Linked DNA regions of Pelodiscus sinensis. The protein of the gene in region 3 interacts with the protein of the main gene of each other region in a pairwise test. Links are inferred from orthologs where the notes say so. Each region holds a gene or a part of one and is shown on either strand. Other genes may lie near its edges. The genes, in order: ADGRG7, VTI1B, LDLRAD1 and MARCHF2.

The links.
Region 1: the proteins of LDLRAD1 (region 3) and ADGRG7 interact in binary tests that used the Homo sapiens proteins (3 or more experiments, as listed by UniProt). The two-hybrid records come from large-scale screens. The link is inferred for Pelodiscus sinensis from reciprocal best matches to the Homo sapiens genes LDLRAD1 and ADGRG7.
Region 2: the proteins of LDLRAD1 (region 3) and VTI1B interact in binary tests that used the Homo sapiens proteins (3 or more experiments, as listed by UniProt). The two-hybrid records come from large-scale screens. The link is inferred for Pelodiscus sinensis from reciprocal best matches to the Homo sapiens genes LDLRAD1 and VTI1B.
Region 4: the proteins of LDLRAD1 (region 3) and MARCHF2 interact in binary tests that used the Homo sapiens proteins (3 or more experiments, as listed by UniProt). The two-hybrid records come from large-scale screens. The link is inferred for Pelodiscus sinensis from reciprocal best matches to the Homo sapiens genes LDLRAD1 and MARCHF2.

The regions. Positions count from the first base shown.
Region 1 is NC_134711.1:150,957,522-150,965,597, reverse strand, and holds the start of ADGRG7 (adhesion G-protein coupled receptor G7), read right to left. Parts: upstream 3,025-8,076; 5' UTR 2,981-3,024; coding exon 2,869-2,980; intron 1-2,868. UniProt on the Homo sapiens protein: Orphan receptor.
Region 2 is NC_134714.1:72,556,292-72,563,924, forward strand, and holds the start of VTI1B (vesicle transport through interaction with t-SNAREs homolog 1B), read right to left. Parts: upstream 3,285-7,633; 5' UTR 3,040-3,284; coding exon 2,925-3,039; intron 1-2,924. UniProt on the Homo sapiens protein: V-SNARE that mediates vesicle transport pathways through interactions with t-SNAREs on the target membrane. These interactions are proposed to mediate aspects of the specificity of vesicle trafficking and to promote fusion of the lipid bilayers.
Region 3 is NC_134719.1:11,283,608-11,291,837, forward strand, and holds the start of LDLRAD1 (low-density lipoprotein receptor class A domain-containing protein 1), read right to left. Parts: upstream 3,154-8,230; 5' UTR 1-3,153. Other genes in the region: TMEM59 (transmembrane protein 59), read right to left, coding at 6,243-6,398.
Region 4 is NC_134729.1:25,339,563-25,347,712, reverse strand, and holds the start of MARCHF2 (E3 ubiquitin-protein ligase MARCHF2), read right to left. Parts: upstream 3,269-8,150; 5' UTR 3,111-3,268; intron 1-3,110. UniProt on the Homo sapiens protein: E3 ubiquitin-protein ligase that may mediate ubiquitination of TFRC and CD86, and promote their subsequent endocytosis and sorting to lysosomes via multivesicular bodies.

The DNA.
Region 1 (8,076 bases), on a different chromosome or scaffold from region 3:
GAATGTTAGTTTGAACTAACATTGTAGTGTAGACATACCCTTACAGAGTTTAAAAAGAAGTTAGATAAAGTCATGGATGTTGGGTCTATGGAGTGCTATTAGCCAGAGGGTAGGAACGGTGTCCCTGGCCTCTGTTTGTGGAAGGCTGGAGATGGATGGCATGAGACAAATGGCTTGGTCATTGTTTTCGGTCCATCCCCTCCGGGGCAGCTGGTGTTGGCCACAGTCGGCAGACAGGCTACTGGGCTAGATGGACCTTTGGTCTGACCCAGTACGGCCATTCTTATGTTCTTATGTTGTAAGCTCAGGGCTCAGGGTCGGGGGTCTCACTGGACCAACTTGATTTTCATGCAAACCTGCTCCTGGGTTCGCATGTGGCCTTTGGTGGCCAGGCTGGCAGCTATCCTGCCCTAGATGGCTGCTTTCCTGTGCCAAGTGCGGAGGTCGTGGACGATGGAGGCCTCCCCCCAAACCTGGATGAAGTCCACGATCTCCGCACTAGACCAGGCGGGTGCCCGCCTCTCGCGGACCCAGGCAGGCTCCGGAGGGTTGGGTGGCAGCGGGTGGCTGGCTTGTGCCCTGCCAGGTGCAGGGTCTGCTGGCTGGGTGCTGGCAGGCTTGCACCTGGCACGGGCACCGTAGCCAGACCGTGCCCCTTTAAGGGCTCCAGGGCCAGGAGGGGGGCAGAAGAGTTACCCTGGTTGTGGCCAGAGTGGCCACCAGGGCAAGCTGGGAAGGGCTAGCCTCCCACTAGTTCGAATTAAGTGGCTACACAGCCCTTTATTCAAACTACTTAATTCGAACTAGGCGTTAGTCCTCGCAGAATGAGGTTTACCTAGTTCGAATTAAGCACGCCGCCAGTTCCAATTAAGTTCAAACTAGCGATGTGCATGTGTAGCCCCTATTAAAGTTAATTCAAACTAACGGCTGTTAGTTCAAATCAACTTTGTAGTGTAGACATACCCTCCCTCTCACAGGCCTTGGGGGACAGGCCAATCCTCACTTACAGACAACGCTGTAACCTCACGCAGCACACTTCTATCATACTGATCCAGGAGCCAACCCCTGCAATCAACCCCGGGGCCAACCCTGTCCTTACATCTATACAGGCAATATTATCACAGGACCTAACCACGTAAACCACCACATCAGAAGCTCATACAACTGCACATCCACTAATGTGATCTATGCCATCAAGTGCCAGCAATGCCTCTTGGCCATGTATATTGGCCAAACTGAACCGTCTCTACAAGAAAAAATTAATGGACATAAATCAGACATCTGAAAAAGGGAACACACAAAAACTATTCGGGAACATTTTAACTTGCCTCAGCACTCATTAATGGATCTCAAAGTCACCGTATTATTTCAAAACAATTTTAAAAGCCAGCTTGACAGGGAAGCTTAATTTCATTTAAAAGTTTGATTCCTACAACAGAAATCTAAACAAAAACGTTGGCTGGATGGCCCGCTACATTCCACATCCTAATGACAAAAAAAAAAAAAAGGTACTTAGAGTGGGTACTAAGTATTCTTATCAGCTTCATTTAGCATGGACATGTTGACAATTTCTTTCCCCTTTTTCCTCCTCTTCTCCCCTCCACATCCCCTCTCTGTGTTATTTATTTGAAAACTGGACCCCTTAAACTCCATTCATCTGAAGAAGCGGATTGTGCCCACAAAAGTTTATGGTACCATCTACATTTTTTGTTAGTCTCTAAGGGTATGTCTAGACTACATGGCTCTGGGTAGATTAGTTTACTAGACATACCCAAATGAAGCGGCGATTTAAATAATCGCCGCTTCATTTAAATTAAAATGGCTGCCGCGCTGAGCCGATCAGCTGTTTGTCGGCTCAGCGCACTAGTCTGGACGCTCCACGGTCGACATCAAAGGCATTTGTCGACCGCTCCGGTAAACCTCATCCCACGAGGCATAACGGGGCGGTTGACAAATGCCTTTGATGTCGACTGCGGAGCGTCCAGACTAGTGCGCTGAGCCAACAAACAGCTGATCGGCTCAGTGCGGCAGCCATTTTACTTTAAATGAAGCGGCGATTGTTTAAATCGCCGCTTCATTTGTATATGTCTAGTAAACTAATCTACATGACTCTGGCGACAGAGCCATGTAGTCTAGACACACCCTAAGGTGCTGCAAGACTATTCCTTGTTTTTTTAAGTTTTTCCAGTTACAGACTAACACGGCTACCCCTCTGAAAATCCTGACACCTGCTCATGGACTCCTAGCAGGCCTCGCACCTCCCAATTGAGAACTGCTACAATCAATAGTAGGACCATATTTCCCAAAGGAAAAATGAGACATAGCCCAGAGCTGGTATGAGCTCTCCCCACCTCAGCATGGGGCTGGTTCAAGCCACTTGACCCTCTCCATGAGGCTGGGTTGCTGAAACCCTGTCTACTCATCTCCCTCCTCATCATGAATCTTGGCACTTCATGAGGGACTGGCATCACTGCTCATTCTCCTCCCACACACACACACACAAACACTCATTCCTCTACACTGCACCCCACTTTTTGACAAAAGTTGGCATTTGATCAGATGGCAAAAGCAAACCGGACAAAAGCCCACTGTTGCCAAAAAAGTCAGAATGATCAGGACATGGCTAAAAAAGGGGACTGTCTCAGCCAAAATAGAAAATATAACCATCGTAGCGATTAAAGTATTGCCTCTCCTTAAAATCCTTAAGTATTGCATCCTTAAAATCCTGCTAAGACCAACACAGCTACAATAACACTGCAAACGATGGTGAGAAGAGACATTCCTGCTCAAGAAGCTAATGGCACTAAGAACTCAGTCAGTATTCATTACATCATTTTGTGAACTGGATAAAACAGATATTTGTATTACCTGATTTAAACCTGAGAACAAGTTGCCAAATGCATAGTATCCAAAGCACTACGGTCACTGTCCCAAAAATAATCACAATCAACGCTCTGCTGTCCCAGTGAAAGGAAGGCATTTTGTGTATGCCCTAAGCATGCTCAACTATAATATATTTTTAATTCACTTCCTTGTGATGGATAAACTATTAACTACTTTTCTCATCGTCAAGGCTAGAAATGTAACCCTTTCTGTTCCATTTAAGGAAATATTGAGAGGCAAAACCAGAGGCAAAATGGATGAAGGATTATCATTTATTAGACCAACTTCTGTTGGAGAGAGAGACATGCTTTCAAGCTTCCACAGAATTCTCCTTCTGGTCTGGGAAAAGAAGAAGAGCTCTGTGTAAGCTCAAAAACTTGTCTCTCTCACCAATAGAAGTTGGTCCAATAAAATATATTACCTCAGCCATCGCTCTCAGACCCCCTTTCTCTCCAAGTCCCTGATCTGCATGAATGAGTTAGACCTAGAGCCAAATGAGGAGTCTCTGTAGAAGGAACTCTGCCTGTTCCATGCATTGAGGGAGGAAGAAGCCACTCAATATATGAAGCTGCTCCAATTGTCCTACCTCAGGAGGTCAGGGAGTAGGGAAAGGCAGCCCATCCAAAGGGATTTTTCCAGGGACTGATGGATTTCCCCTTCTACTGTGCTATAAATGGTCTCAAAGAGTGAATGGTCCATCATAAATGGGTAGCAGCAGCTTCAATTAAGTGTTTAAATTTCAGGTCTTGATACCTAGCTCATTTTTTAATGTCTACATTTTTGGCCAAGTCTGAGGCTTCTTGTGACCCCTCTCCCCTGCCCCACAAAGTACTGCCCTCCTTCCTATCAGAGGGTCTGCAAACACACAGTGTGTGTGTGTGGGGGGGGGAAACCCCTAGAATGGGCAGCTCTATCAGATTTGAGCATCCAGTAAGCACTGTGTAAAGGTTAAATGGTCCAACACCAAGTCTCTGGTTTCTAAAGAAGCCCCAATTTTGCATGTTGAGGTGAAAGATATATTAGATAACACTCTGGGGCTTCACAACACTGCTGTGCAACCCCTGCAGTATTGTGAACAAACAGAGTGTGAAGCTTTAGAGAAATACTTTCCTCAGTCACTACAGTTACTTGGCCTGCTAACTTCTAGGACAGTTTCCATTTTCTTTCAACAGAATCTGTAACTTTTAGAGGGCGCAGAATGCTACCTATCCTTATCCATTGCACGTATTCCTAATCTCTAGCAGCCTCCACTACTTATCTTAAAGGAGTTGATTTATGAGTGATAACATTGTAGATCTAGAGCCAAAAGCTGCACAGAAAACGCCTACCCATATACTCTTGCATGGGGCCTTTCATGCAGGTAGGTTGAACAAGACACTGAGGCCAATTGGCCATCAGTTTCCCAGTCACCTTTTTCTTGAAGATGGGCACTACGTTCACTTTTTTCCTAGATAACAGGTATGGTACCTTTTCTGATTCACTGAAGACTGTTTCTAGAGCTTCAAGAATTCTTGCTGGTATTTTTCATCAATCTCACGTGCAATTCTTTCATACTCATCAATGTGTAATATATGATGTGGGCAGATAGAGGTCTGAGCATTGGCTTCATCCCTTTTAACCAATTATAACAAGATTCACATGCCACTCTGGCACCTCCTGCTAGTTGCCATGGCAATTAGCCCTGCACAGTAGTGTGCTCTCTTCAGGTGGTGCCTCACCACACCTCCTTTATGTCTGTTCCAGGAGTCATATCTCTCCAAGGGCTGCGACATCCTCTTCAGCAATGCAGCCCTTTGGCAGTGCCACACACTGTGCTCTCCGCATCCAAGGGGCCTGCAGTTCACCTTCTCACCACTTACTTCAGTGGCCAACTGCACTCCCTTCCTCCAGGGCCACCTCCCACCTGGCTTCAGCTCCCTCTTTGCCTTGAGTCAGGTCCTTAGCCTGCACACCTCACCAGCCAGCCAGGAGCTGTCTCTTGCTCCCTCAGTCCATGCTGGGGGGACTGCACCGTTCAAGGTGCTGGCATTTCTCTCAGCCCTCCAGAAATATAGTCCTTCCTCCTTAAGCTCTCAGGGAGAACTGACTTCCTTTGGCACCGATTGGCTGCTCTCTTCAGCTCTCTTTTGATCGGCTGCCTCCAACCTCTTTTCTGCCAGCGAAGGGCACCATCACATCAATTCATTTGGAATGTGTTCTCTTTTGTATTTCTTTAATGTTCATTCATTTTTAGTATTTGATGCTAATACCAAGAGAAATGGCCCCGTTGCACTTGGAAGCAGAGCAGCAAAGGAATCCTCAGTTCCAGCATGTGACACAAGGCCTTCAGCATGCATGGCCTTGCTGACTGACTGCACGATGAAAAAGCAAACATGATTCTGGGATGCATTAACAGGAGGGTTGTGAGCAAACCGCGAGAAGTCATTCTTCTGCTCTACTCTGCGCTGATTGGCGTCAGTTGGAGTATTGTGTCGCGTTCTGGGCACCACATTCCAAGAAAGATGTGGTAAAATTGGAGAGGGTCCAGAGAAGAGCAACAAAAATGATTATAGGTCTAAAAAACATGACCTATGAGGGAAAAGTGAAAGAATTGGGCTTGTTTAGTTTAGAAAAGAGAATACAGAGAGGGGACAGGATAGCAGTTTTCAAGTATCTGAAAATATTTAAAAAGGTGTTACAAGGAGGAGGGAGAAAAAATTGTTCTCCTTGGCTATTAGGACAAGAAGCGATGAGCTTAAATTGCAGCATGGGAGGTTTAGTTTGGACACTACAAAAAACTTCCTGTCGGGGTGGTTAATCACCGGAATAAATTGCCAGTGGTGGGGTTTGTGGAATCTCTATCACTGGAGATATTTAAGAACAGGTTAGACAAACACCTGTCAGGGATGATCTAGACAGTACTTGGTCCTGTCATGAGGGCAGGGGACTGGAATTGATGATCTCTCAAGGTCCCTTCCAGTTCTATGATCCTATGGGATGAGCAGGAAAGGTGCACATATAGCCTGCCATTCCCCTCCAACACGGTGTTTGACTCTTGGGGATTTGTGCTTTGTACAGACTCAGTGGCACTGCCTCAAAAATGCCTTCTTTCATTCCTGTAAATGGCAAGGAAAGTGCAGGAAATCAAAGCATGACTGCCATTCAGGAAGTTACCACTCAGTCAACTGTTTTTTCAGGGTACTAGAGGTGTAAAAACACACACATACACACACATACCCTTACACATTCAAGTCTTTCTAGTGAAGAGATTATGGACTTCAGCAATGAATAAATCAGTTTTATTTAAATAAAATTAGACACATCTTGTTTGTTATAAACTATTACATTTTCTTTAAAAAAAAAAGGCACCAATATTTAACAATAACTTAAGGTTTAATTAGAGCACTACCTTTTTAAAATGGTATGTTTGCAAACCTGGCAGTCTTCCAACCCTTCTTTGAATTCAAACAAATTATTGGTAAGGGAGTATCAAAGGTCCTACTTCTTTGTTAATATATAGCAGTGTTCAAAACATAACCAATCAAGACACCAGGTGAAGCTTTCTGCATTAAAAAAAAAGGTTATTCCTAAAGATATTGGTTGATTTTTATCATACTAATGTATAACAATACTAGGCAGTTTGAGAATATGTCTGAATCTTTTATATTATAGATATTATAAATATATTACAATTTTCCCTTTGCTTTTTCTTGTATTTTATCATTTTAATACCCAACATTTGTACAGAAATTCAAGCAGTCTTAAAACTTGAGGCTTTAGCATCTGTTTTTACCAAATCACATTTCTCCAAATTACAGACATTTACATCACGGCATCAAAGAGTTGTGTATGTATTGAAGTTAGTCTCTTATTTTTTTATGATTTCAAGGCAGGTATTGTACTGTAATATTTCTGGGAAAAGGGAACAGAAGCAACAGTGAAATAAAGTTTATCATTCTCTCCTTTAGTTACAGAGGGGTAGCCGTGCTATTATGTAACTTGAAAAAAACTTCAAAAACAAGTGATCCTGTAGCACCTTAGAGATGAACAAAAAGATATATAAATAGTATCACGGGCTTTTGTGAGCACAACCCATTACTTCATATAAGTCAGTGGATTTTGAGATTTCTCACCTCTTAGCAGTATCAAGCCCTATGTGTTAAAAACTACTCACTATGAACCATGAGCAGCCAGCAGGTTACTAACTTTAGAGTAGAGATAGGCCTGAGAGAAAAGATTCAGATCTGGATTATGAACATTTCAAGGTTTGGGATGCAGATGTATTCAGCTCTGGAGTTTTGGTTTAATCCATTACAGTGTTTGAGTCAGACTTGATATTAAGATTCAGTTTCTAATGCCAATGTTTGTACTTGTTGAGACGTAAGGTATAGATTCACTTTCATCTATAATGTAGAGTAATCAGATTGCCTACAAGACAGATTTGGTAAAAATAGCATGAGATAGGGGAGAAAAAAACTTAAGAGGGAAAATTACTGAACATCCTGAACACTTGAAAATCCATTTTTATTTTGGCTCTTTGTAATGCCATTTTTAGTAAAAGGAGATATTTTGTGTATAAAAGAAATGATAGGATTAGTCACAAAGGGTATGTCTACACTACCCCCCTAGTTCGAACTAGGGGGGTAATGTATGCATACCGAACTTGCTAATGAAGCCCGGGATTTGAATTTCCCGGGCTTCATTAGCATAAAGCCGGCGCCGCCATTTTTAAAAGCCGGCTAGTGCGAACCCCGTGCCGTGCGGCTACACGCGGCACGGACTAGATAGTTCGGATTAGAAGCCTAATCCGAACTATCTAGTCCGTGCCGCGTGTAGCCGCACGGCACGGGGTTCGCACTAGCCGGCTTTTAAAAATGGCGGCGCCGGCTTTATGCTAATGAAGCCCGGGAAACTCAAATCCCGGGCTTCATTAGCAAGTTCGGTATGCATACATTACCCCCCTAGTTCGAACTAGGGGGGTAGTGTAGACATACCCAAAAAGTGTTAAAAGTCAAACTTCTAAATTGGAATTCTGGAAATATCATTTCTAGAGATTTATATCTGCCCAAAGCACACATAATGTATCCAGCAAACTTGACCATCCAATTCTCAGACAACTTTATAGGTTATTCACTGAATCTAGCACAGGAGCTATCGATGTCCCCTTGTAGCAATAGGCAGCTGGTATGCTAGGTGGGGGAAGGCATTGCTTTC
Region 2 (7,633 bases), on a different chromosome or scaffold from region 3:
GTTATGTCAAGAGAAACAGCTCTCCAGATCTGCATACTTCAACAAGAGTCTAAGAATTTAAGATCGGCCACCTCTGAAACGCTTTTGGGGATGACAAAGTCTCTGTAAAGTCACTTTTTTTTTTCTATTATCCAATTCTGAGGAAAGCTTCATGGGACTTTTCAGAACACTAAGATGCACCTGCTCCCAGTTAACTAGATGCAGAAGAAACATCCACTAAAAAAAATTTACTTACCCCATATGGGGACCTTCCTCAAGTCCCACAAAATTTCTTGCAAATTATTTTTGAAATCATTCTTGGGGATTTTCCTGGTTTGAGCAATGATTTATAGCATTTACAACTGAAAATTATCCTTAATAAGAATTTCAAAAATTGCTTGGCAACAATTAAACTGATTAGCCTTAATAGCAGCAACTCATTTCTTCAGACCCTCCCTCAGTTTTTCATGCAACTTTAATGACACTATTTTACTGACAAACTTCCATGACCACTATTCATAAAATTACCTTTTAAAATTGCACTATACAGTTAAATCAGCTTCCTGCTTACTGTTCTGTTCTAATTTTGAACGTGGGATAGTGTTCTATTTAAGTGCTTTCTTTGTTCCCCTCACTTTGGTATCAGAGTGCCTCCCAAAATTATAAAGTGATGAGTCATTTCTCACTCTTCCATACAGCAAAGCAGCAAAAGATAGATTTATAGGGGTTTTGGGAGGGAAGGCTAGATTGTAAGTAACTTGAGTTTTGCAGTCAGTTTCAATATCAAGCAAGTCCATATTTGTGATCCATTCTTGATGATAATAATATACTGTGTCCAGTAGAATATTGCCATTTTGGAAGGTCATCATCATACTACATGAAGTAATTCTTGGGACAATTTTATGGAGAATTTCAAAGAAGAGAACACAGACTTTGAGTTCAACTCAGTATTTAATGGGGAGCCACTTGTCAGTTGAACACTGCAGTGTTGTGTTCTCAACAGCCTAGGAGACTGAGCATAGGAGCTACTGGATTCTAAACAACAAAGTTTTTATGAGTTTGATGCTTACATATTAAGTACAGAGAATTACTATAATTAATCCTGGTGGTCACATGACTAACAAGTGCCAAAGAACAAGGAATATTTTGCCTTATTCACTCTTCTGGCAAAGAATAGATATCAGCTGAGTAGACTTCGGTGTCACACTTCTGAAAAGAAAGGGAGCTTCCTGATTGTGAGGAAATTCATTTATATTGCTAACATTCCTTTGTCAGGTCACTTCCCTTTTCCCCCCAATATAACCAGCATTCACCAGATGAATTAAAAGGCCACCATCAACTTTTAGAGAGATTCTTCCATTAGAAATCATTTCACCTACTTACCAGTATCTGCTAGCTAGATCAAACAGTAAAACTCAAAAATTAGAAAAAAAAGCTCATTTTTCCAGGATTACTTTTTACATTTAACAGCAGCACAGTGTTTCACTTTAGAAATCTTCTGTAGATTATGTGGTCTCCCACAGCAACAGGAAAGAGGAAATCATTTAAAAATAAGAAAACGTAGCAGTAAAACTACAAAAATTGCCTAGAAGACTTAGAAACTGCTTTTAACTCTTCATTATTAATTCAGTTGACTAGATAGTGGCCTTTAAGCTAGGGATATAAATTTATGTTTAATTAATTAATTAACTGGTTAAATGTTATGTTTAACCCAGTTGTTCCCAACCTGTTGTCAGCAGACCCCTGGTGGTCTGCAACAGTACTGTAGGGGGGTCTGCAGAAAGTTTAAAGTAGAAATTAAAATAAATGTACAGAGCCTACTGCAGCCAGCATGTCCTTCAGCCTGCATTGCTTCCCGAGCGGGCTGAGGGATGCGGCTCAGAAAGCAGCTTGGGCTAAGGGACGTGCAGGCTGCAGGCACAGCTATATTGTTTAGGGAGTCCATAACATTTCAATAGATTGATGCTTACTAATTAACTATTCACATCCCTACTTTAAGCAAGATTCTAGTGTTTCAGAAGGGAATGGGCCTGGGATCATCGGTTAACCTTCACAGTTACATGCAGCTCCTTTCCCCTCCCCCCAACTGCTGGCAGATGGGAGCTAGTGCAAACAGGGAGACACCTGCCCCCACTCTGCTGCCTCAGATACAAGGCAGCAGTGGGGGCGGGGAAGGAGCTGCCTCCCACCTTGCATGTAAATGTGTAATTGCTGAAAATTTCAGCAATTACACATTTACCTAAATAAATGCATTTTAACAGCCCTACATTGCATATGTTTCATGTTTGTGCTGACACTTAAGCCAAAGGCCCAAAGTATACAAGAATTTACATAACGTAAGTGCAGTGATGTCAGTGGGACTACCTTATGGACAGGATGGTCCCCCATACTCAGATTAGCCTGCAGGGCCCTGGATGGGCTACAGCTGGCAGCAGCAGTATTCCCCCCCCTCCCCCCCCGCCATTCACCTCAGGAGTGGGAGTCGTAGTAAAGCAAAGCTACATAGTAGCCAGCCTTCATTGGGGCTGGGGAACTCCTTTTTGCTGCCTCCAAGGTGAAGCGGAGAGGTGGTGGCGGGCAGAGCAGAGAGCTGTGCTGCTCTGCCGCGGTGAGTGTGGGGAGGCGATGGCTGCTGCCATCACATACCAGCTCTACTGGAAATCACCAGGGCTGCGTCCTTTGGGGGAAGAGGCTTGAGGGAGAGGGTGCGATGGGGGACTCACGGAGCAGCACAGATTATGGAACTACTCGGGCCACAAATGGCTCCCGGGCAGAGTCTGAGACGCCTGATCTTAAGGGTCAGACCTCAATTTGCACGTCCCGTTCAGTTCTTGGCCTCTAATAAGGATGCCAATGACCCTGCGCCGCCCCCCCGCCAGACAGACTCGGGGGGGGGGGGTCTCCCGCTCCTAAGCAATAACGGCCGCGCGCGCGCGCTCCCTCACCGGCCGCGCTCCCCCGCAGTCTCTCCGGGGCGCCTCGCAGCTGCTTGTGCAGCCCCCCGAAGATCTCGTGCAGCCGCTCGAAATGCTCGGAGGAGCCGGAGCCCCGACCCGCCATGGCGGCAGCTGCTGTCGTGTCCCGGCCCTCTCGCCTGCTACTAGGGGTCCGGGCTCATCGCCCCCTCCTCACAGGCACTTCCGGGACGCGAGTCGGGGCCTCCCCATCCCAGTGCCTCGTCCCGCCCAGGGGGTTGCCCACATGGCGCCTGATGATCAGTCGCTCGGCACCGCGGGCAGCGGCCCTCTGGCCACGAGGTTCTCGCCTTGCTAGAGCCACATGTGGAGCCCGAATCTCCGCTCGCCAATGGGGCTAGCGCCGTTCTACGGAGCAGGCATAGTCGCTGCCACCCCAAAGGGGAGGCGCCATCCTCCGAGCCGCGCACGGCATGCCGGGAAGTGTAGTCTCTGGGATTGCTCCCATCCAGTAAGATTGCCCCTTGGACGCCGATAGCTGCCGGATGCGTTCAGTCTGGCAGCGCCTGCGCGTGAGGGCGCTCTCGCCAGCGGCGCCGCTGTGGGCCCGGGCACACGCCTCAGGCAGTGCAGGGCAGCTGTGGGGAGGGTCACATGGGAGCGCGGGGATTTTCGGGTGGGTCCCTCCTCCCAATTTAAGTTTGCAAACCCGACCGTGCCAGTGAAGCGTCCTCTCGCCGCGCGCTGCTGCTAGGGATGTCAGCCGTTAACGGGCAGCCGAGCTCGGCTGGAGCAGCCAGCCCCCTTCCCCCATCCCGTTAAGGCGGTTCACTGATTACATGGGATTTCAGATCCCTAGCTGCTACCACTGATCCTGGGGGCTTCTGTCACAGGCGCTAGAGCAGGGTGCCTGTGGGACCGGCCATTGACGGGAGAGGGAGCTGTCCTCCCCCCTTGCCTTGCCTAGGGGCCTGGTGAGCCCGTTGGCTCCTGTGCTGTGGGGTATAGGAAGGGCCACCTCGAGGCCGGGATGAGAGGGGGCATGTGTGGGCACCCCATTTAGCAATTAAAATGTTGGCTGGGGCATAGAGGTTCAAGTGCTACCACAAGTCACTTATGACTCCATCCCTTTGTGCAGGCAAGGGAGGGAAAATGTACAAGAGTACTGCCCTACAAGTACATCCAAGAGCAAAATGTGCACACACCAGCAGCCACGGAGAAACCCAATATGTTGAGTTTGTTATGTTGTGTCATCCAAAGCAGTAGTAGCTTTGTATGTATATGAACCTAATTCAGGTGCTGGCTTGGCAGATCTGGATACTGAATTCTCCTGTCCACGGAGCAGACAGATACAGTACATAGATTATTTATTTATTTATTTAGTATGTGCATAGTCTTCTAAGCCAAGCAATGGCATCTTCAGTGGCATGATGCTGTTCTTCTACATCACCACTGAACCTAGCCACCAGGCATTCAAAGACAACATGTTTCATTGTCTGTGTTATGCTGCAGCTGCTCAAAGGACTTTTCCGAAGGCCACAGTGATAATGATTGGCTGCACAGAGACCTTGCTCAGTCCGGAACCTATTCAATAGGGATCACTGACAATGGGGCAGTCAAAACCAGGCAAGCAAATTGTGGGATCAGCGACGAAGGACTGGTTAGAAATTATAAAGTATCCATTGCTCTCGCCAGTGCCTTGTATTTGGTGGTGGAGTACTGTACACCATTATGGAGTCAATCGTCACACACCAAATAGGTGGATATGCAGTTATATGCCACCATGCATATCATCTCTGGCACTCTGTTCAACTCTACTCCGAGGGCTCCCAATTCTGAGCAATAATATCAGATGCGAGATTGCCACTAGCAAGATATTGGAGATAGTACACACCAACCCAAGCTTACAGCTGCACAATAACCTTTTTAAATTTCCAGCCACATACTTGCCATCACATTGCCTGTTATGGCCTCATCTGCCATGCTAGGATGTTAGAGCCAAACTTGAACAGCTTAATGGGAGTAAATCGGGGGGTCCAGATAATCTTCATCCAAGAATATTAAAGGAACTGGCACATGAACTTGCAAGTCCATTAGCAACATTTTTTAATAAATCTCTAAACTCAGGGGTTGTACCATTTGACTGGAGAATTGCTAATATAGTTCCTATTTTTAAGAAAGGGAAAAAAAGCGACCCGGGCAACTATAGGCCTGTTAATTTGACATGCAAGATCTTGGAAAAAATTTTGAAGGAGAAAGTAGTTAGAGACATTGAGGCTAATAGCAATTGGGACAAATTACAACATGGTTTTACAAAAGGTAGATCGTGCCAAACCAATCTGATCTCCTTCTTTGAGAAAGTAACAGATTTTTTAGATAAAGGAAATGCAGTGGATCTAATCTACCTCGACTTTAATAAGGCATTTGATACAGTACCACATGGGGAATTATTGGTTAAATTGGAAAAGATAGGGATTAATATGAAAGTTGAGAGGTGGATAAGCAACTGGTTAAAGGGGAGACTACAGTGGGTCATACTGAAAGGTGAACTGTCAGGTTGGAGGAAGGTTACTAGCGGAGTTCCTCAGGGATCAGTTTTGGGGCCAATTTTATTTAATCTTTTTATTGCTGACCTTGGCACCAAAAGTGGAAGTCTCCTGATAAAATTTGCAGATGACACAAAGTTGGGAGCTACTGCCAATTCAGAAAAGGATCGGGATATCATACAGGAAGATCTGGATGATCTTGTAAATTGGAATGATAGCAATAGGATGAAATTTGATAGTGAGAAGTGTACGGTTATGCATTTAGGGATTAATAACAAGAATTTTAGTTATAAGCTGGGGACACATCAGTTGGAAGTAACGGAGGAGGAGAAGGACCTCAGAGTCCTGGTTGATTATAGGATGACTATGAGCTGCCATTGTGACATGGCCATGAAAAAGGCTAATACGGTCTTGGGATGTATTAGGCGAGGTATTTCCAGTAGGGATAAGGAGGTGTTAGTGCCATTATACAAGGCATTGGTGAGACCCCATTTGGAATACTGTGTGCAATTCTGGTCTCCCATGTTTAAGAAGGATGAATTCAAACTGGAACAGGTACAAAGAAGGGCCACTAGGATGATCCGAGGGATGGAAAACCTGTCTTATGAAAGGAGACTCACGGAGCTTGGCTTGTTTACCTTAACCAAAAGAAGGCTGAAGGGGGGACATGATTGCACTCTTTAAATATATTAGAGGGATAAATACCAGGGAGGGAGAGGAATTATTTAAGCTTAATACCAATGTGGATACAAGAACAAATGTACAGGCAGTCCCCGGGTTACGTACAAGATAGGGACTATAGGTTTGTTCTTAAGTTGAATTTCTATGTAAGTCGGAACTGGCCCCAGATTCAGCCGCTGCTGCCGAAACTGACCAGGGGCTAACTACAGGAAGCTGGAGGCAGAATTGCTCTGCCCCCAGCTTCCTGGAATCAGCCACTGATCAGTTTCAACAGCGGCTGAATCTCGAGCCTGGGACAGAACAGCTGGGCTGCCAGGTAGGTCCCTGCAGGACCAACCCGGCAGCACCCCAGCTGCTCTACCCCAGGGTCCACAACAAAAGCCTGGTCTGCTGGGGGGGGCGCACTAGCTGCGCCCCCCCCAGCAGACCAGGGACACAGGGAGCAAAGCCGCAGTGGTGGCGGGGTGCCGCGCCTCTGAGGCTTTGCTCTGGCAAAGCCTCAGAGGCGCGGGACCCCGCCGCCGCCGCGGCTTTGCTCCCGGTGTCCCTGGTCTGCTGGAGACAGTCCCCAGCAGACCAGGGACACCCGGAGCAAAGCTGGGGAGGCGCGGGACTCCGCCGCCACTGCGGCTTTGCTCCCGGTGTCCCTGGTCTGCTGGAGACGGTCCCCAGCAGACCAGAGGCACCCGGAGCAGCTTTTCTCGCCCCGGAGGTCGAGGTGGCAGGACCGCTGTGCTCTGGGCGGTCCCGCTGCCTGCGAGCTCCGGGGCGAGAAAGCCCCGTTCGTAAGTGCAGAAAGTCGGATCCGCGTAACTCGGGGACTGCCTGTATATAAGCTGGCTAGTAGGAAGTTTAGATTTGAGATTAGACGAAGGTTTCTAACCATTAGAGGAGTGAGGTTCTGGAACGGCCTTCCAAGGGAAGTAGTGGGGGCAAAAGATCTATCTGGTTTCAAGATTAAACTAGATGGGTTTATGAAGGGGATGGTTTGATGAGATAACATGATCTTGGTAACTAATTGACCATTCATTATCAGTAGGAAATAGGTCAATGGAGGGATGATAGGAGTTACTACTATAGAGAACTTTCTGGGTGTCTGGCTGGTGAGTCTTGCCCACATGCTCAGGGTTTAGCTGATCACCATATTTGGGGCCGGGAAGGAATTTTCCTCCAGGGTAGATTGGCAGAGACCCTGGAGGTTTTTCGCCTTCCTCTGTAGCATGGGGTACAGATCACAGCTGGAGGATTCTCTGCATCTTGGGGTCTTCAAAGTATTTGAAGGCTTCAATATCTGAGATATAGGCGAGAGGATTATTCTAGGAGGGGTGGGTGAGATTCTGTGGCCTGCACTGTGCAGGGGGTCAGACTAGATGATCATAATGGTCCCTTCTGACCTTAAAGTCTATGGCTACATCTACACTGGCGCCCTTTTCCGGAAATGCTTAAAACGGAACAGTTTTTCCGTTTTAAGTATTTCCGGAAAAGCGCGTCTACATTGGCAGGATGCTTTTC
Region 3 (8,230 bases):
AAACCCATGAAGAGATTCAGTCCTGCTTCCCCTGCATGAAACAGGGAGAGGTACCTATACTGCAGGACCACACAGGCTCAATTTATACTGGCACCATGCTTTGAGCAAATAAAGTGCTCTATGTAGTCTAGATAGTTCTCCAGCCCCTCTACTGTAGATGTTGACGGCAGGACATAGCAAACCAGCTGAACAGGGATTTTTTTTGCCTCTCCCCCTTGTCTTTCTAGTTTGTGTGTGCACTTTGAAAACAAACCCAAGAACTGACAGCAGGGTAGAAAAAAAAGCACCAGCTAATTTAAACCTAATATTCAAAACAGCAGCACCTTTTTCTGTGTGTCTTCCTTGTGCCTCTCATTTTAACTCCACTGCTATGTGGTTCAGGCTCTCTTTCACTGCTGGCAGCTGTGAGTCCAATTGACCAGCTAATGGGTGCACGTATCAAAAAGGGCAGATACTGCTTCCCTGTAGCCTGCATGTACTCTCCCAGCTTCACTGGTACCAGCACATCTTCACAGAGAAGGCACTGGGTTAGGAAAGAGAGCCTGTGCCTCTTCCTCCCCTAACTGTGCAAGAAAAAGGCACATGTGTTTGTTCTACTCTAGCATAGGACATTGGCTTGGTCTAAAGTATTATGCTAGGCTCATCTTAGCATCTGCTCCTCCACAGGAGGCAAACTAGTTCTTGGCAAGGCGCATACTTCCCTTCCTCCAAAATCCAACTTTGGACTATGGGAGTAGCTCATCATACTTCACCTGTGGGGGAAGGGAAACTGATTAGGAAATGGGGTGACAGGAGGACTGCAGATGGAAATTGGGCTGGAATTCTAGAGATAAGGGGGTAAATAAGAGGGGATAACAGCAGCTCAGAGGATAGATCAGAGCTTTTCCTAGCAATGCAGGTATATTGTGTGAATCCTAGGTAAAACAGTGAGCATACACCACCACCTAAGAACAGCACAGTGCACTGCTGCAATTCAACTGTCCCATATACTATTTCACTAGCAAATGAGCAGAACAGAGCTTACTGAGCACAGCAGCCTCTGGCAGAAGCAGAATTAACTTTCCAGACATGCTGCAATGCCAGTCACCTTCCTGGAAATCAGACAGGTGAAAGGACAAGGAGACAGCTAGATAGCGAGCTAGCCTTACAACTGTGATTTAGAGATGGGCATATACACAGCTATTTCAATGGGAAAGTTAAATGAAGTTGATTTGTTATAGCAACCAGGGCATAGGCTGGTTTTCTGAAGCACAGTGAAATAACTAAAGGAACCATCCTCACAGACACTAAAGCAGAATCAGTTGCTGGGCCTCTATTTCTGGAGAGATTAGGAGTGAAAAGGAAACATTTCAAACTAGGGCAGGGGACTGGACTTGATATCTCAAGGTCCCTTCCAGCTCTAGTATTCTACCATGTATCAGTTTCCACATAACAGGCAAAGGGTAGCCCAAGGTGACTTAGTTAAGTTGGAATTTTCAGCCCATCACACATCTTAAATCAGCCTTTGTCTAAGACTGACAATCCTCTAATAAGCAGATGGTATGAGTTTTGCCCACAAAAGCTCATGATACCACCTACATGTTTTGTTAGTCTTTAAGATGCTACTAGACTATTCATTGTTTTAAGTCTTTTTAGTTACAGACTCAGCTACCCCTCTGAATCCTTTAATAGTTTAAGATTCCCCTCCTCCCGTTTCAATAGCATGATACTGTTCAAGTGTAACAGACTAGTTCCTGCCTCTGCAAGATTCCAAGTTTAGATGACTGCCTAGCACAACATATTCTGGGGGTGTGGGAAGCACTGAACACAAAACATACCAGTGCCCTAGAAGTTTGTTAAAAATGCTCCGTTCAAATGGCCCAAAAAAACAAAACAAAACAAAAAAAAGATCCAGCAGCTTAAGGAACTCTAATATCCTCTGTTAGGGCTGCTGTTTAAGAAGACTACTGGGTTGAAAAAAAATATAAAGTTACAACTGGTTTGGCAGATGTTAAAATATTCCAAGTTTAGACCAAAAAATAGCAGGTTAAGTTGATGTCCTAGGAATTTCAATTGGATGTTCTGGTGACAGGGATGTTGAGTATAATTGCCTTTGATCACTGCATCTGCAGTATTTACAGCTGGTATTGAGGAAAGTAAGACCATGAGAATGTGCCTCTACAAATAGGTGCCTCCCACTTGGCTCTTTTAAAAAGAGTTAAAATGGGATTTTACTTAAATTCTTACATCACACGTGACAGCACAGCACATACCCACGAATGCTAGTGATTCAACATCCTTTTTCAGGGATCATTCTGAATAATTGGAATGATCCTTACTCCAGCATGATCCCCCTCAGGAGCCACATAGAGCTAACTAATCCTTGTAAATCCATATTCTGATGCTAAGCCTGAGAACCAGCCAGGACATTTCATCTTTGTCTATCATTAAGAAATCAGAGACCAGCAAACACTTTGCTCTAGAGTAGAAGGTAAGAACCAAGATGAGAGATGAAGTGTTAAGACAACTACAGCTCAATCAGAAACTGCCTTTGCCCCTCAGTTTCTGTATCTGTGAAGTAAAGTTTGTGAGCTTTGTAAGGGGAGATGCAAGCATGTGAACTTCCACCACTGCCAGTTAGTAGGAATTACCAGAGTCCTAGGTATCTATGGTGCAGTGGCCATAGCTTAGTTATTTTACTACTAGTTTTTTGTAACTGAAATCATGTATAGCTGATTTAGCCACCGATACAGCAGGGTTCTTGTTTCTATGCTTAGGAATCCGAGTTCTCAAAGTAAGAGGAGAGATGCACAATTATATGGGTGGGGGAAGAGGAGGAAGTATTTGGTCCCTCATCTACAATTGCTTGGGCAATTTAATTTTCCATCTTTGAGAAGAGCCCAAAACCCAGTTACTGTATACAGTACTTCAAGAGTCTGAGTATTTGAAAATAAGTTGAATAGAAATTGTTTTGCCATCTTAACTAGCATATAGGATCTAGGTTTGCTCCCATAGTAGTTAAACAATATCTTAGTGCCAAGATGAGTGAATCGGTCTAATTCCAGCAGTTCTTACTGTAGTAACAACTAATTATCAGAATCAAATGTGGTAATGGGAAAAACCTGGATACAAAAGATGTACAATAGCGTAGAAGTCAGGTCCTTTAAGCTATATAAATTTGTTTATAGAAATTAATACCTCAAGAATCTCATTGCAGGAATGCAGGTCCCCCTCCACCTCCCGCCGATACTGCTTATAGGAGTTACTGAGTCCTAGACTTTATTCCTAGTATAGTAACGTTTCAAGTAACAATGCCCAAGATTTGAACCTTTGTTTATTCTTTTCCTTCCTTTCATTTCTGGTTTCCAGAAGTTTAAGTAGATATTACAGCTCAATATTAAAAAACTAGAAACTGTTAATTAACCCAATTATTTAAAAATTTAAACATTTGAAAACAGCCACCTTTAGAAAAACGAAATGAGAAGAACAGTTTTACATGCATGAGTTAAAATTGAAGTCATTGACAATTAGAGCTATACATTGTACTGAAACAGGCAACTGGACAATTATACTTTCAGTGAAGCGATAAACATTTACACATCATAGGGGAAAAAACAGATTCAAAGAACATTTACAATGCCGGTTATAAAGATTTGGGATAACTAAAGTGTTATTGAAACTGTCCTGCAGACAAAGGTAGTGCAAAGAATACCAGCAATGGCCACTGGTATGAAGTCTGTATTTGCATCTTAAGCTATCATTGCTCAAGGTGCATTGAATATTAGTACATCAGCATTCTGCATTTAACAAGGCTGTGTACTTAAGTACATGACTGCATAGAAATGAGTCTTGGGACAATTGCTACTACAATACAGAAAAAAAGCTAATTTTTAAAGCACTACACAAACAACTTTCACATTGAGATCCTTGCAAAAACCTAAATATTTAGAGATGTTAAGAAGAGCATTGCACTCCAACTTTCATAGTTAAGTCAGATCCTCTTTCAATGCCACATCAACCAAAAGTTACATAGTAATTGGGCAAACATTCAATGTTTGTATTTTAACACAGTAGACACCCCTCAACTTATACCTTAATGACAAAAAAATGTAAGGTGCACATGATTTTAAAGAACAGATTTATAGCAGCTCTGTGTATGCTTAACACACAATTGCAAGCACCACAGTGTATGTGGTACGCACTTCAAGTATGGACCCATAATGCATAAGCTATATAGTCCTCAAAATTTGCCCATTCGGCAACCATCTTCGCCTCCCACTCAACCAAAACTTTAATTAAAACCAGAACAGCAAGTTATGTAATGAGTTACTCTGGAACGTCTCAAATACAATTTTTGCTAGTGTACAAAAAGCTATGCAAAAACCAGTATCTATTGCTTACTTCTAACCTGAATGTAGATATAATCAGACATTTTAAAAAAAGCGCTAATAACTCTGGCCAAAATAAGATATTTAGGCCAGTTTCTAAATTTTTGCAAAGGGGTTTTAAGGAAAACCATCACAGCGCCTTCTTCAAGATATCTAGCAGGCACAAGATTATAGCTGCTATAGGAAAGAACAAACCTGTGTTGAACAGGTTAGCTAGAATAATCATCTCAAGTTTTTTACTGATTGTAAAAACAAATTGTCTGTACAGGATAAACTTAACACAAATAGTCTTTAAAGTGCTACCAGACTAACAAAACATGTAGATGGTATCGAGCTTTCGTGGGCACAGCCACAAAAGCTCATGATACCATTTACATGTTTTGTTAGTAAAATAACGTTTACAATTCAGAAGCTTCAGGGGGTAGCAGAGTTAGTCTGGCAGCACTTTAAAGACTAACGTAGCAGAATGAGGTCAAGTTACATATGCAGTAAAAGCTATGCTATCCAGCACTTTTATAGCACTTTCTGGCTGGTAAAGTTACATTTCTGGTCTTCAGTAAAAGTTTGGTTTCTAGTCTGGTTGGCACAGGACCACCAGGCTCCCTGGAAGCAGGGACACATCCCTGCTGCTCCTGAACAGAGGAGCTGCCATGGAAGTTGTGCACTGACCCTGCAGCTTTCATTGATGAGGAACCATGGCCAATGGGAGCTGTGGAGACAGTGCTGTGGCCAGAAGAGCTTGCAGAGCCACCTAGCTGCATCTCTACCAAGGAGAGGCAAGGACATTTTGCTGCTGGTGGGGAGCTGCCCGAGGTGAGCACCATCTGGAGCCAGCACCCTGAAACTCCTTCCTGGAGTCTGAACACTGCACCCTCTCCTGCACAGTGAAGCCCTCAGCCCTAACCTGGAGTCCCTCCTCCTGCACACTGGCCCAACCACCTCCTACACCCCAGCCCTTGCCCCAGTTTAGTTAACCAGAATGTTTCATTAACCAGCAGCCCCTCATCCCCATTCCTTCAATGTACCAGATTAATCTTTTACTGTATTAGAGGGATGCTGTAGATGAATCTCATACTGAATGTATAATGGTTAACTGCAAGCCATAGCAAAAGGCTACATTTATTCTGTTTTCAGTAATTAATTTGTTTGACAATGGAACAACTGGACCCAACTGGTTAACTAAAGGGAAGTCTTTGGAAAGAGTATAATCTAACCTAAGAAGTTCTTGAAGAGTTGAAGGCTAAAGTTTGTCAAAAGAATAAATATGCACGTCACATTGTGTGTGTAAGATAAAAAGGTCCTTAAAATTTGCATTTGACAGTGAGAGCTCAGTCTGCAATACCTCATTAATGCTCTGCATATTGACAACAGTAAAAAAAAATTTATTTTAAGGAAAAAGGTTTAAGGTTTTTGCAAAGACATTAACAGATAATACAAAATTACTGCCAATAGTTTTCCTACTAATGTTCTTATTCACAACCAAAAATGCCCAGCCTAAGCATCTTCTGCCCACTTATTTATACCATACTTTTACAGAGCTAATTCTGCTCTTACATCATAGAAAAATTAGAAGTGACTGATTGAATGTGCCATGGTACAAGTGTAGAGAGCATGCTTAGTTTTTGGTAAGCAAAAAGGACACATTGCCAACTCTAGTAAAAGCAGTTACATATGTTTGGGAGAAGTCTACAAATTAAAGATGTTTTCCTCTAGTAGTGAAAAGAATTGATTCCATGAGAGACTGATTTGATTCTGTAACTTTATTTGCATTTAACACTGACCATTAAGCCCTGCATTTAAAGAAACCCTAAAAAACCCCACCAGGAATTGATAGAACTGCTAGAATTAGCCTATTAAATTCTTTTTAAAAAGTATTTAAATAGTTGAATGAGCCAGATTAACTTTTGTAGGTAGAGCTCCTGCTTCTTCATGTTCATCAGTCTTGCAACGAACAACAAGAAGAGCAGAAGATGGGTATCTGGTCAGATTTTGTTCATTCATGTACTCCAAGTCTCCATAGATGCTCAGCTTCTGAAATAATTAAACTTGTTTTAAAGAGATATTACAGATTCTGAATGCACAATCGAGACATGCTCAGCCATAAGAACACAGACTGGACACAGTGGGTCAGACTAACAGTCAAGCTACCCCATTCATCTAGTTTTCAGCCATGGCCAATGCCAGGTGTTTCACAGGAAAGAAACATAACTTGTAATCAAGTGATCCATTCCTTGTTACCTATTCGTATCTGCCAGCATATAACTATGATCACACACTTCTCAGTGAGGTTTTGCAGCTGAAGCACTGCTTGAATATTATAACACACTATTTCCCAGGACATCTAAAATTCATGTTAACAGCAGAATTTGAGTCTAAGCCTAAGACTAACATGTTCTGGTCAGAATGAGTGGTACTCATATGCCAGCTTCAGCTCCTAAAAAGTATCAGTCTTGCTTTTTTTGGAGGAAGGTGAGTGGAGGATGTCAGTTCAGCCAGGCCTTTCCCCCCATAAGATTCCTACCACTCACCACATCACATTCATAGGCTCCTGCCATTCTCAGCCTTTTCATCATCCTTACTGCCCTATGTCTCACTCTGCTCCCACAAAAGAGAACTAGAAACAGCTTCCAGTTGTCAAGCATGTTACCATAGGGAAGAGGGTTTCTAACCCGAGAGAAAGACAGAGGCCCACAACAAAATTAGGAGGAATGTTACTCAGACTAAAAAATGCAAAATGTGAACTCTACAACACGAGGATTCCAATTTTGTGGGCACATACAAATTGAGTAGATGACACATCCACTACATCTTTAAATAAGTGTTATTTACAAAATGGTAGCAGAGCAGGAAGTGCTGGAGGTGCCTGCCTTTCAACCTTTAGCCCTGTGATCAGAGTATTCAGCTGGGCTGGGGTTGATCTGGGTTTAATTCCTTTGTCTGATAGGAAGCAAAGATTTGAACTTGAGTCTCCCACATGGAAAGACAGCCCTAAGCCAGTGAGACTCAATCAGTGGCCCTCTGGCCAAGTGTGGCACACTAGACAGTGCTTAGTTTGTAGTGAAGATGCCAGCATTCAGGCTTGGCAAAAATTAAGCATTGGCTGGGTGGCCAGAGCATGGTGGCTGCTGTCTGGGTGCCCAGCTCTGAAAACTGAAGGCAGTGCTCACACCGAGCTGGTGCCCAGCCAGCAGCCACTGCTGTCCAGCCACTTAACCAGTGCTTAATTTGCACCAGGCCTGAATTCCAGAACCTCTCTCATTACAAAGCAAGTACTACTAATAACTCTGATTAACAACTTTAATTAAAGAAAAGGTAGAAACACTAATACTTATGTCACAATCAAGGTCTTTATTGACAGTTATTACTCTATACTATCTGTATCATTGTCAGCCTTCTGTGCAAATGGTCTACTTATAAAATTCTCTAACTGGTCCATAGGTAAATCTAATCAAGTATCACTGCCCTAGTAAGTACTGGGATATGGGAGGGTACTCTATATCACATCTCAGTCTTTCTTGCTGATGTTGTTCCACTGCATGTAAACACTGCAATTAAATAATTATTGGAATAAGAACATGAACTTGGGCCTCCCCACAGAGGGGGAAGCCCTAGCTGTGTCACTGCAGTCATTTCCCTATCTGTGTCACTTACACATAGTGGAACAGCTTCAACAAGTATATGAATAGTCATTAAGCTAAAGTGTTAAAATGGACTACAGCCTCATGATTATGGGCACTCACTTTGGGAAACACACATTTAGGTCTTTGGTCCAGTTACTTTAGTTTAACTTTGGAAGATTAAGACCTGCCCCAAGTGCCATCCCATAGTCCAGTGAAGAGGGTGCCATTTGAGAGGCCAAAGAA
Region 4 (8,150 bases), on a different chromosome or scaffold from region 3:
TGCAGATGTCTCTGTATGGGTAATACTTGGCTCACATTTCTCTTTGCAGCCCCTGTTACAAATCGTGTGGAGGGGCAGCTCTGTCACAGTTGTGTTTTAAGTGATGAGAGAGGTTCTCCCATTCCTGTATTTAATCCGCATCGTTCCATTAACCTAGTGCTGTCCACACTCACGGTGAGATTCACTCAGGCTCTGTCTACACCAGTGGTTCCCAACTTGTGGTCTGCAGACCCCTGGTGGTCTGCGACAGTACTCCGGGGGTCCATGGAAAGTTTAAAACTAAGGATCGGGCCCACTGTAGTGTCTCTTCACTACATAGCTCTACAGAGGGGAGGGCTCCAAGACATTTTAACAGATTGAAAAGGGGTCCATATGCTCGAAAGGTTGGGAATCACTGAGGAAGTGGGTCTGGCCCACAAAAGCTCATCACCTAATAAACCATCTTGTTAGTCTTTAAAGTGCTACATAGTCCTGTTTTTGCTTGGTCTACACTATGGACCTTATAGTGCAACAGATGCAGCTGTGAAGGTCTCCTGTGTAGACATGCTATGGTGGTGGGAGAGAGGCATCCTTCCAGCATAAACCACACTACCCCAAACAAGCCACAATAGCTATGTTGGCTCCTGCTGACATAGTACTGTCCTCATCGGCTCTTTTGTTCATGAAACTTATGTCGGTTGGAGGGATGTTTTTTCACACCCCTAACAAAAAGTTTTGCCAACAAAAGGGTTAGTGTAGATAAAATCTTAATTCCATCATTCAGGGGTGCAGATTTTGAAGGACATGGTAACAGGATCTGACAGAAGAGAGTGCAGTATCCATCCTGCCTCCGTTGAATGAACTCAGTGTCTGTGTCACACACACACACCCACCCACCCACCCTTCTGAAACAGATCCTTGCCCTCTCCATGTAGGGAAAGCCAGTCAACAACAATGAAGCCATACAATAGAAATTAAAACCCTGTCAGAGAATGAAATAGTCCATAAGGTCTTACAAAGTCAATTTTCTTGGTACTAATACACACTTTCCACTAGTGCCCTGTCTCCAACCTTCCCCATTTAGCCATGCTCACATGGACTCTCCACAATCTGGTTTCAATCCATGGTGTGACACAGAGACAAGCTCTAACGCAGTGTTAGGCAACTTGCAGCCTGTTGGCCACATGCAGCCCACTACGACTCCACCTGCGGACTCTGGTCAAACCCCTTCCCCTTTGCGCTTCTCACACACTGGGGCACCAGAGCCACACACTTCCTAGTCCTCTCCTTCTCCCCCAGCACTTTCGGAGCATCATGAATTCACTGAGTCATGCTCCATCCCATCCCCGCTCCTTCCACTGTCTCCCAGAGCTGGAACTCCAGGTGCCCCAGTGCACAAGAGGCACGTGGGGGACGTGGCAGACAGGCAATCTGCAGATGGAACACCAGTGGGCTGCAGGATGCCCACTGAGATGAAGGAGGGCATCCCATGCAGCCCACTCCCTATTCTTGGTTGCCTAAAAGCTAGTCAACAAACTCTATGGCAACTAAAAGAACAAGCCACGGCACAGATGCCACCCAGTCTCTGCAGTGTTCCAGGCAGTCAATGACAAGATGCTGCTGACCCTACAAGAGTGGATGGCACAGCATTGTCATGTCTGCAATAATTTCTTCCAAACTGGCTCCAGAGTGTTAGGGATGGGGAGCAGCTAGAGCATTCACATGCACATGTCTGCAGTAATCAGTGCTGCCCGCCTTCCTAATATGAGAGCTCATGGATAAGGAGCAAGATAACACAGCCTTAACTGCCAACAACAGAAGACTACCTGGCCTTCTACTCCACTTAGGAAGGGACAGTCAGTTTCACACATACAGAATGAGAAGCAGCTGTCTAGGAAGGAGTACTGCAGAAAGGGATCATAGTGGACCACAAGCTAAATAGGAGTCAGCGGTGACACTGTTGCAAAAAAAGCAAACTGATTATAGGATGCATAAACAGGAGTGTTATGAGCAAGACAGGAGAAGTCATTCTTGCACTTTTCTCGCACTGATTAGGTCTCAATTGAAGTATTGTGTCCAGTTCTGGGCACCACATTTCAAGAAAGATGTGGAGAAATTACAGACGGTTCAGAGAAGAGCAACAAGAATGATTAAAGGTCTAGAGAACACGTGCTATGAGGGAAGGCTAAAGGATTTGGGCTTGTTTTGATTGGAAAACAGACAACAGACAGGACATGATAGTGGTTTTCAGGTATCTAAAAGTGTGTCATGGGGTGGGGGAATTGTTCTCCTTGGCCTCCAATGATAGGACAAGAAGCAATGGGCTTTAACTGCAGCAAAGGAGGTTTAGGCTGGACATTAGGAAAAGCATCCTAATTGTCACAGTGATTAAACACTGGAATAAATTGCCTAGGGAGGTTGTGGAATCCCCATCACTGGAAATATTTAAGAGCAGGGTAGACAGACATCTATCCGGAAGAATCTCAGCGGTGCTTGGTCCTTCCGTGAGGGCAGGGGACTGGACTTGATGACCTCTCACGGTCCCTTCCAGTTCTAGTGTTGTATGATTTTTGTGTCTCCTCAGCAAGTGTAACTGACTCGAGACTCGGGATATAAAATCCCATTTCATTGGTTAACTGGTTAAATGTGATGTTTAACCAGTTAACCAAATAAGGAAATGCAGGAAGTGACCTGATGGGCAATAACTACAGCTGGAAAGTAAAAAGTTAAACACTCTAACAGGCAGATGGGAATTCCAAAGTCATTGGGCAACCAGACAGACTGACAGCCTTGTAGCCTCAGGGCAATGCTGATACAACCAACTCTTGTCCCTTGTCCCCAGAGAATCTGCCTCAGCCTAGGGGAGCTCAGGGCAGCAAGTGTTTAGCTTAGATACCAACTTAGATACCCGAAGCGACCCCTCCCCACCAATCCCAGCTCCCTTCCCTCCCCCGTCCCCTGACTCCTGAGCTTCCCCCCAATCCTGGTCACTCCTCCTGCTCCCCCAACTCCCCGCAGCGACCCCTCCCCCCAGTCCCAGCTCCCCCCTCCCTTCACAGACCCCTCCCCCCAGTCCCAGCTCCCCCCTCCCCGCACAGACTCCTCCCCTCCGCTCCCACGACCCCCCTCACCGTCCCTGGCGCGCCCGGGGCTGCCGGTGCCGATGCCCTGGGCCGAGGCTCAGCGGGGCCTGGGCCGCCCCATCCCCGGCTCCTGCGGCCGCCGGGCGCCGCCTACTGCTGCCTCCTCCTCCCGCCCGCTGTCACGGCGGCCGGAACAGCGCACGCGGATAGCCCCGCCTACGCTCCCGGCAGCCACTCAGCGCACGGGACTACACAGAACGACGGCTCTCTCGCCCAATCGCCTGCCGCAACCGACTGCAGACGTCATGGCATGGTCCGATGGACAGAGCCACGGGCCTGCAGGCGGGCGAGGAAGCCGACAGGGCAAGGCCGGCTCCGCGCAGGGAATGAAGGCGGCAGGGCGAGAGCCGGGGGCGGGGCCTGAACCCTGCCCCACCTAGCCCCTCCCCAGCAGCAGCCACCTACCCTGGCCCCGCCCCTTCTCCGAGGCCCCGCCCCTCACTCTATTCCCCCCCACCCGCACCTGCCCCAGCCTGGGTCAGGGGGAGGGGGAGGAGCAGGCTCCTCAGGATTTCACCCAAGCAGACCAGAGGGGCCTGCCCCTGGGGAGCCGGGACTGAGCCCCCTCGCCCGTGGGCTCCAGCCAGACTCCTGCGGCCGGGGGGGGGGCTCTGGGAAGGGGGTTGTACAATGGCCCAGCAAAGCTCTGTCAGCACCGAGCCAAAACGGGGCCAGGGAGGCGGCTCTTGGGGGCGGTACCTTCGGAGGAGGGGCTCTGGCTCCTCGCACAGGAGGATCCCGCCCTGGAAAGAATCGGACGGGTGCTAGAGGTCGCTGGTAGTGGGTAGAGGCCTGGCAGAGCTACAGCTGCACCGAGCGCTGCTGGAGATCTGACGTGATTGTCTCTGAGCTTGAAGCATTGATGTTTCAAAGACAGTACCAGGGATGTCAAGGCATAGTCAACTTACACGATTAACTGATACGCCTAGGTTTATTGCTTAATCTTGTTGACTACATGCATTCCCCCCATCCCCCGCCAGCTTGCTGCCTCTATCAGAGGCAGCAGCACAGAGTAGTAGGCAGCCGATATGCATGGGGAGCCAGTTTTGAAACTGGCTCCCGTCACGGACTGGCTCCAACCTACTACCCTGCACTGCTTCCTCTGATAGAGGGACTGCAGCACACAGTGTCCGGGGACTCCCCAGGAGTGGGAGTGCACTGGCGGCCATCCCCAGCCCTGGGGACTGTCAAATGTTAGTGGTTACATGACTATGTCATACAGTTATACAACTATTCAATTACATGTTATCTAACATGCCTACCAGGGAGGGAACCAAGTGCCAGTCTGAGTGGCCTTTGGTTTTAGATACATCTTGCCAAGAGGCATGAGATGCCTGTGAGAAAGGAGCTTCTTGATGCTGCTTAGCTGACAGTTTCTCAGGTGGTACCAAACCTTTGGTACTGGCATGAACCGGAGTCACAGTTGGACCCATTATCTGACGTTTCCCAAGGGTTGATTCAATTAGATGACCTATCCCTCTTTCTAGATTCTCTAGTAGAGAAGATGGGCTTCTTCCTAGAGATAGAAGTCAGGAGATTAGTGTACCATCTGTACACCATCAGATAACATGAGCAGTGAATTATTAGCTTTCCAGTGATATATGCCCCAAAGTAGGGATGTTAGCTAGCAGGTAATTGAATAGTTGTGTAACCACATGAAATCTTAGTTACATGACTAGTCGATAGTCCCTGGGGGCATGGCCAGCAGCCAGAGCACTCCTGACCCCACACCCAGGGAGCCCCCTACCACTTAGTGCTGCTGCCTCTATGTCAGAGGCAGCAGCATGGGGTAGCAAGGGGAACCAGTCCATGAGGGGAGCCAGTTTAAAAACCAGCTCCCTGCACAGACCAGCTGCCTAATGCCCCACACAGTTGCCTCTGACACAGAGGCAGCAGGACAGCAGCAGCCTGTTTGGGCTGGGGGGGGGGGTCCAAGATCCCCACAGACAGCAGCAGCCTCTGTTTGTGGGGCAATCGGGCCCAGCAGGGACAGAGACTGTTTTGCAACAGCCTCCCCTGCCCCTTCCCCCACTGCTACCTCTGATAGAGGCAGCAGCACGAGGTGGGGGGCAGGCAGCACCATGGACCTGGTGCTGAGGGAAACCAGCTTTTAGCCAGCTCCCTCCCCCTTGCTACCTCTGATATAGCCTAGGGCTTATCCATTGATTATATAGTCGACAATAGTGTCTGGCTGGTGAGTCTTGCCCACATGCTCAGGGTTTAGCTGATCGCCATATTTGGGGTTGGGAAGGAATTTTCCTCCAGAGTAGATTGGCAGAGACCCTAGAGGTTTTTTTTTTTTGCCTTCCTCTGTAGCATTGGGCACAGATCACAGCTGGAGGATTCTCTGCATCTTGGGGCCTTCAAAGTATTTGAAGGCTTCAATATCTGAGACATAGGTGAGAGGATTATTTTAAGAGGGGTGGGTGAGATTCTGTGGCCTGCACTATGCAGGGAGTCAGACTAGATGATCATAATGGTCCCTTCTGACCTTAAAGTCTATGAGCATGACAACTGTGTGCCAATTGGCATTGGGATGCTCTTCAGACCACAGCAGCAGGGAACATAATTGCTCTCTCTCAGCCACAGGCAGTCAAAAAGAATTGGAGGAGCAGAAGGGTCACACTTCTTATATGTTCTCACATGCGTGCTTTGGAGGATAGGGTTAAAATTCAAAACCATCTAGAGTAAGTTGAGAAATAGGGTGAAGTAAGATGAAACGCAGTAAGAACAAATGCAAATACTCCATTTAGAAAGAACAAATCAGTAGCACGCATGCAAAATGGGAAATGATGGCCTATGGAAAAGTACTGCAGAAAGGGATCTGGGGGTCAGGGTGGACTACAAGTTAAGTATGACTCAACCATGTGACACTGGCTACATCGAGACTTCACTGGGAAATCGGTACGCAAGAGGCTTTTCTGAAATTTGGCATGTCTACACTGTGAAAAGTTTTGGAAAACAATGCTCTTTCAACATCCCTAATTCCTTGTAAAACAAGGTTTACAGGGATGGTGAAAGTGTGTCAGCTTTCTTGAAAAAAAATAAATTCTGGTATCCCAGAAAAGCAATGCAGTCTAGATGTAGCCATTGCTGCTTAAAAAATGTCTGGGATATATTAGCAGGAATGTTGTATGTAAGACACCAGTAGTAATTCTTCCACTCTACTCTGCACTGATACTGTATCTAGTTCTAGGCTATGTCTAGATAAATTGCGTATCTTTTTCCAATTTGCTTCTGAAAGAGGCTTTTCTCGAACACCTGCTCTGCAGAGATGAAGTACAGGGCCAGAGGGACCCCCTGACTTCAGTGCTCCCGCTCCCACTCCCCTCCGCACAGTTAGCAGGAGAATCCTGGGAGCAGGACAGAGCACAGTGAGGGAGGGGCAGATGACCACATGCTGCCCGGCTGTAAGTCTGCATCTCTGCTAATCCGCTGGGCCGACTAGATCCAGCCCCAGGCCTGATTTTGCCCACCCCAGCTGTAAAGAGAAGGGGTCGATGCAACATTTGCTCAAGGAACAGCATTAGTCCTTCACAGCTGTGTATTGCACGTCCATTAGCTCAGTATCTCATACTAGTAAGATCTCCTCCCCAAATGGTCACATCACTGGCAAAGTCAGCAGAGGAGCTGCTAGCCTCACTTTTGGTAGTTCAGTTCTGTTACCTCCCCAGGTCCAAAAGCAACAGATTCCCCATATTATTCTAAGACTATTTAGAACAAAATAATTCACACACAATTTGGTTTGGCAATCTTTATATCCACAATACATAATAACCATGCACAAAAATCAAGTGATGCATAAATCTATTTACAAAGTGAATTGCACTTAACTGAATACAGGAATCATGAGTTTAAAAAAAAAAGTGAAAGGAACCACTTCTCAGTTGCATAAAGGTCCAGGGCTACAGCCCACAGAGCCTGTCCAGTAACACGACCAAAAGAGAAATGCAAATGGCAGCAACGAAGCAGCCTAGAAGCTCACAACACTTGTCTGGAAATACCCCACTGTCCATTCTGAGCTATAAAATCCTACACCACAGCCCTGGCAAGGGTCTGTTCTTGAAGCTATGAGACTTCAAGCTCTACTGGATTACGTCACTTTAGAGCTAAGGACAAATTTCAGCCTTCAGTCCAAATTGCCTGGCTTTTGTGTTTTTAAAAAGAGCAGGCCTCTAATTAGGGTAGGTTCCTTCCTTGCTAGGAAGGGGGAAAGGCATCAGTAGATGATTATGAAACACCTTATTAGATCTGTGCTTCCTCAGAGATAAAGATGTCTGAAGTACCTGTTCTTCCTTTAGTCTCCACTCTGGAACACACCACAGGGCAGAGATGGACTCACTTTCACACCACTTATAGCTCAAGGTGGTGCCAATGTTTTGCACACACAAGGCTAGCACATCAAGCTCTGAGGACTCATTGGTCCAATAGAGAAGCAGGTTTTCAAACAAACCAATTGGCTTCTTTCAATGAGTGACCTGTTCAAATAGCAAAAGCACAGACCACTCCTCAAAATCAAGACTGCATTTCCCAGTTGAAAGAGCAGTTGCCTTGGAGTGTGAAGATACCTCTTGATTCATATGTATGTCCCACAATCTTTTTTTTTTTAAATTGACAAATATACTAACTCTCTTCACCACACGCTGGGAGGTCTGTAGAGGCACCAAGTATAGTCAGCTCCCCCAAAATACCTCTGATGAGTGCAGGGCGGGGAAATCATATCCCTTTCACCTCTACCAAGTTTTGGCAGACAGAGTCCATTTAACAGATTACACCAGACTGTCCTTTGTGGAGTTTCCAACAACAAAATTTGAGTGATTTAAACTTTGCACTGGACCTGACTTTCCTTCTTTGCTCATCAGAGATGAACTCCATAAAAAGACAGGTTGAGAGCTCCTTTCATTGAACTCAGACATCTAGGTAGTTACTGTGACTTCCCCATGTGTGACAGAAAAGAATGTAAAATTGAACAATAAGAAACCCTACTCCCAATAGACAAGGCCAATTTAATGAGGTTCCACTATGAAC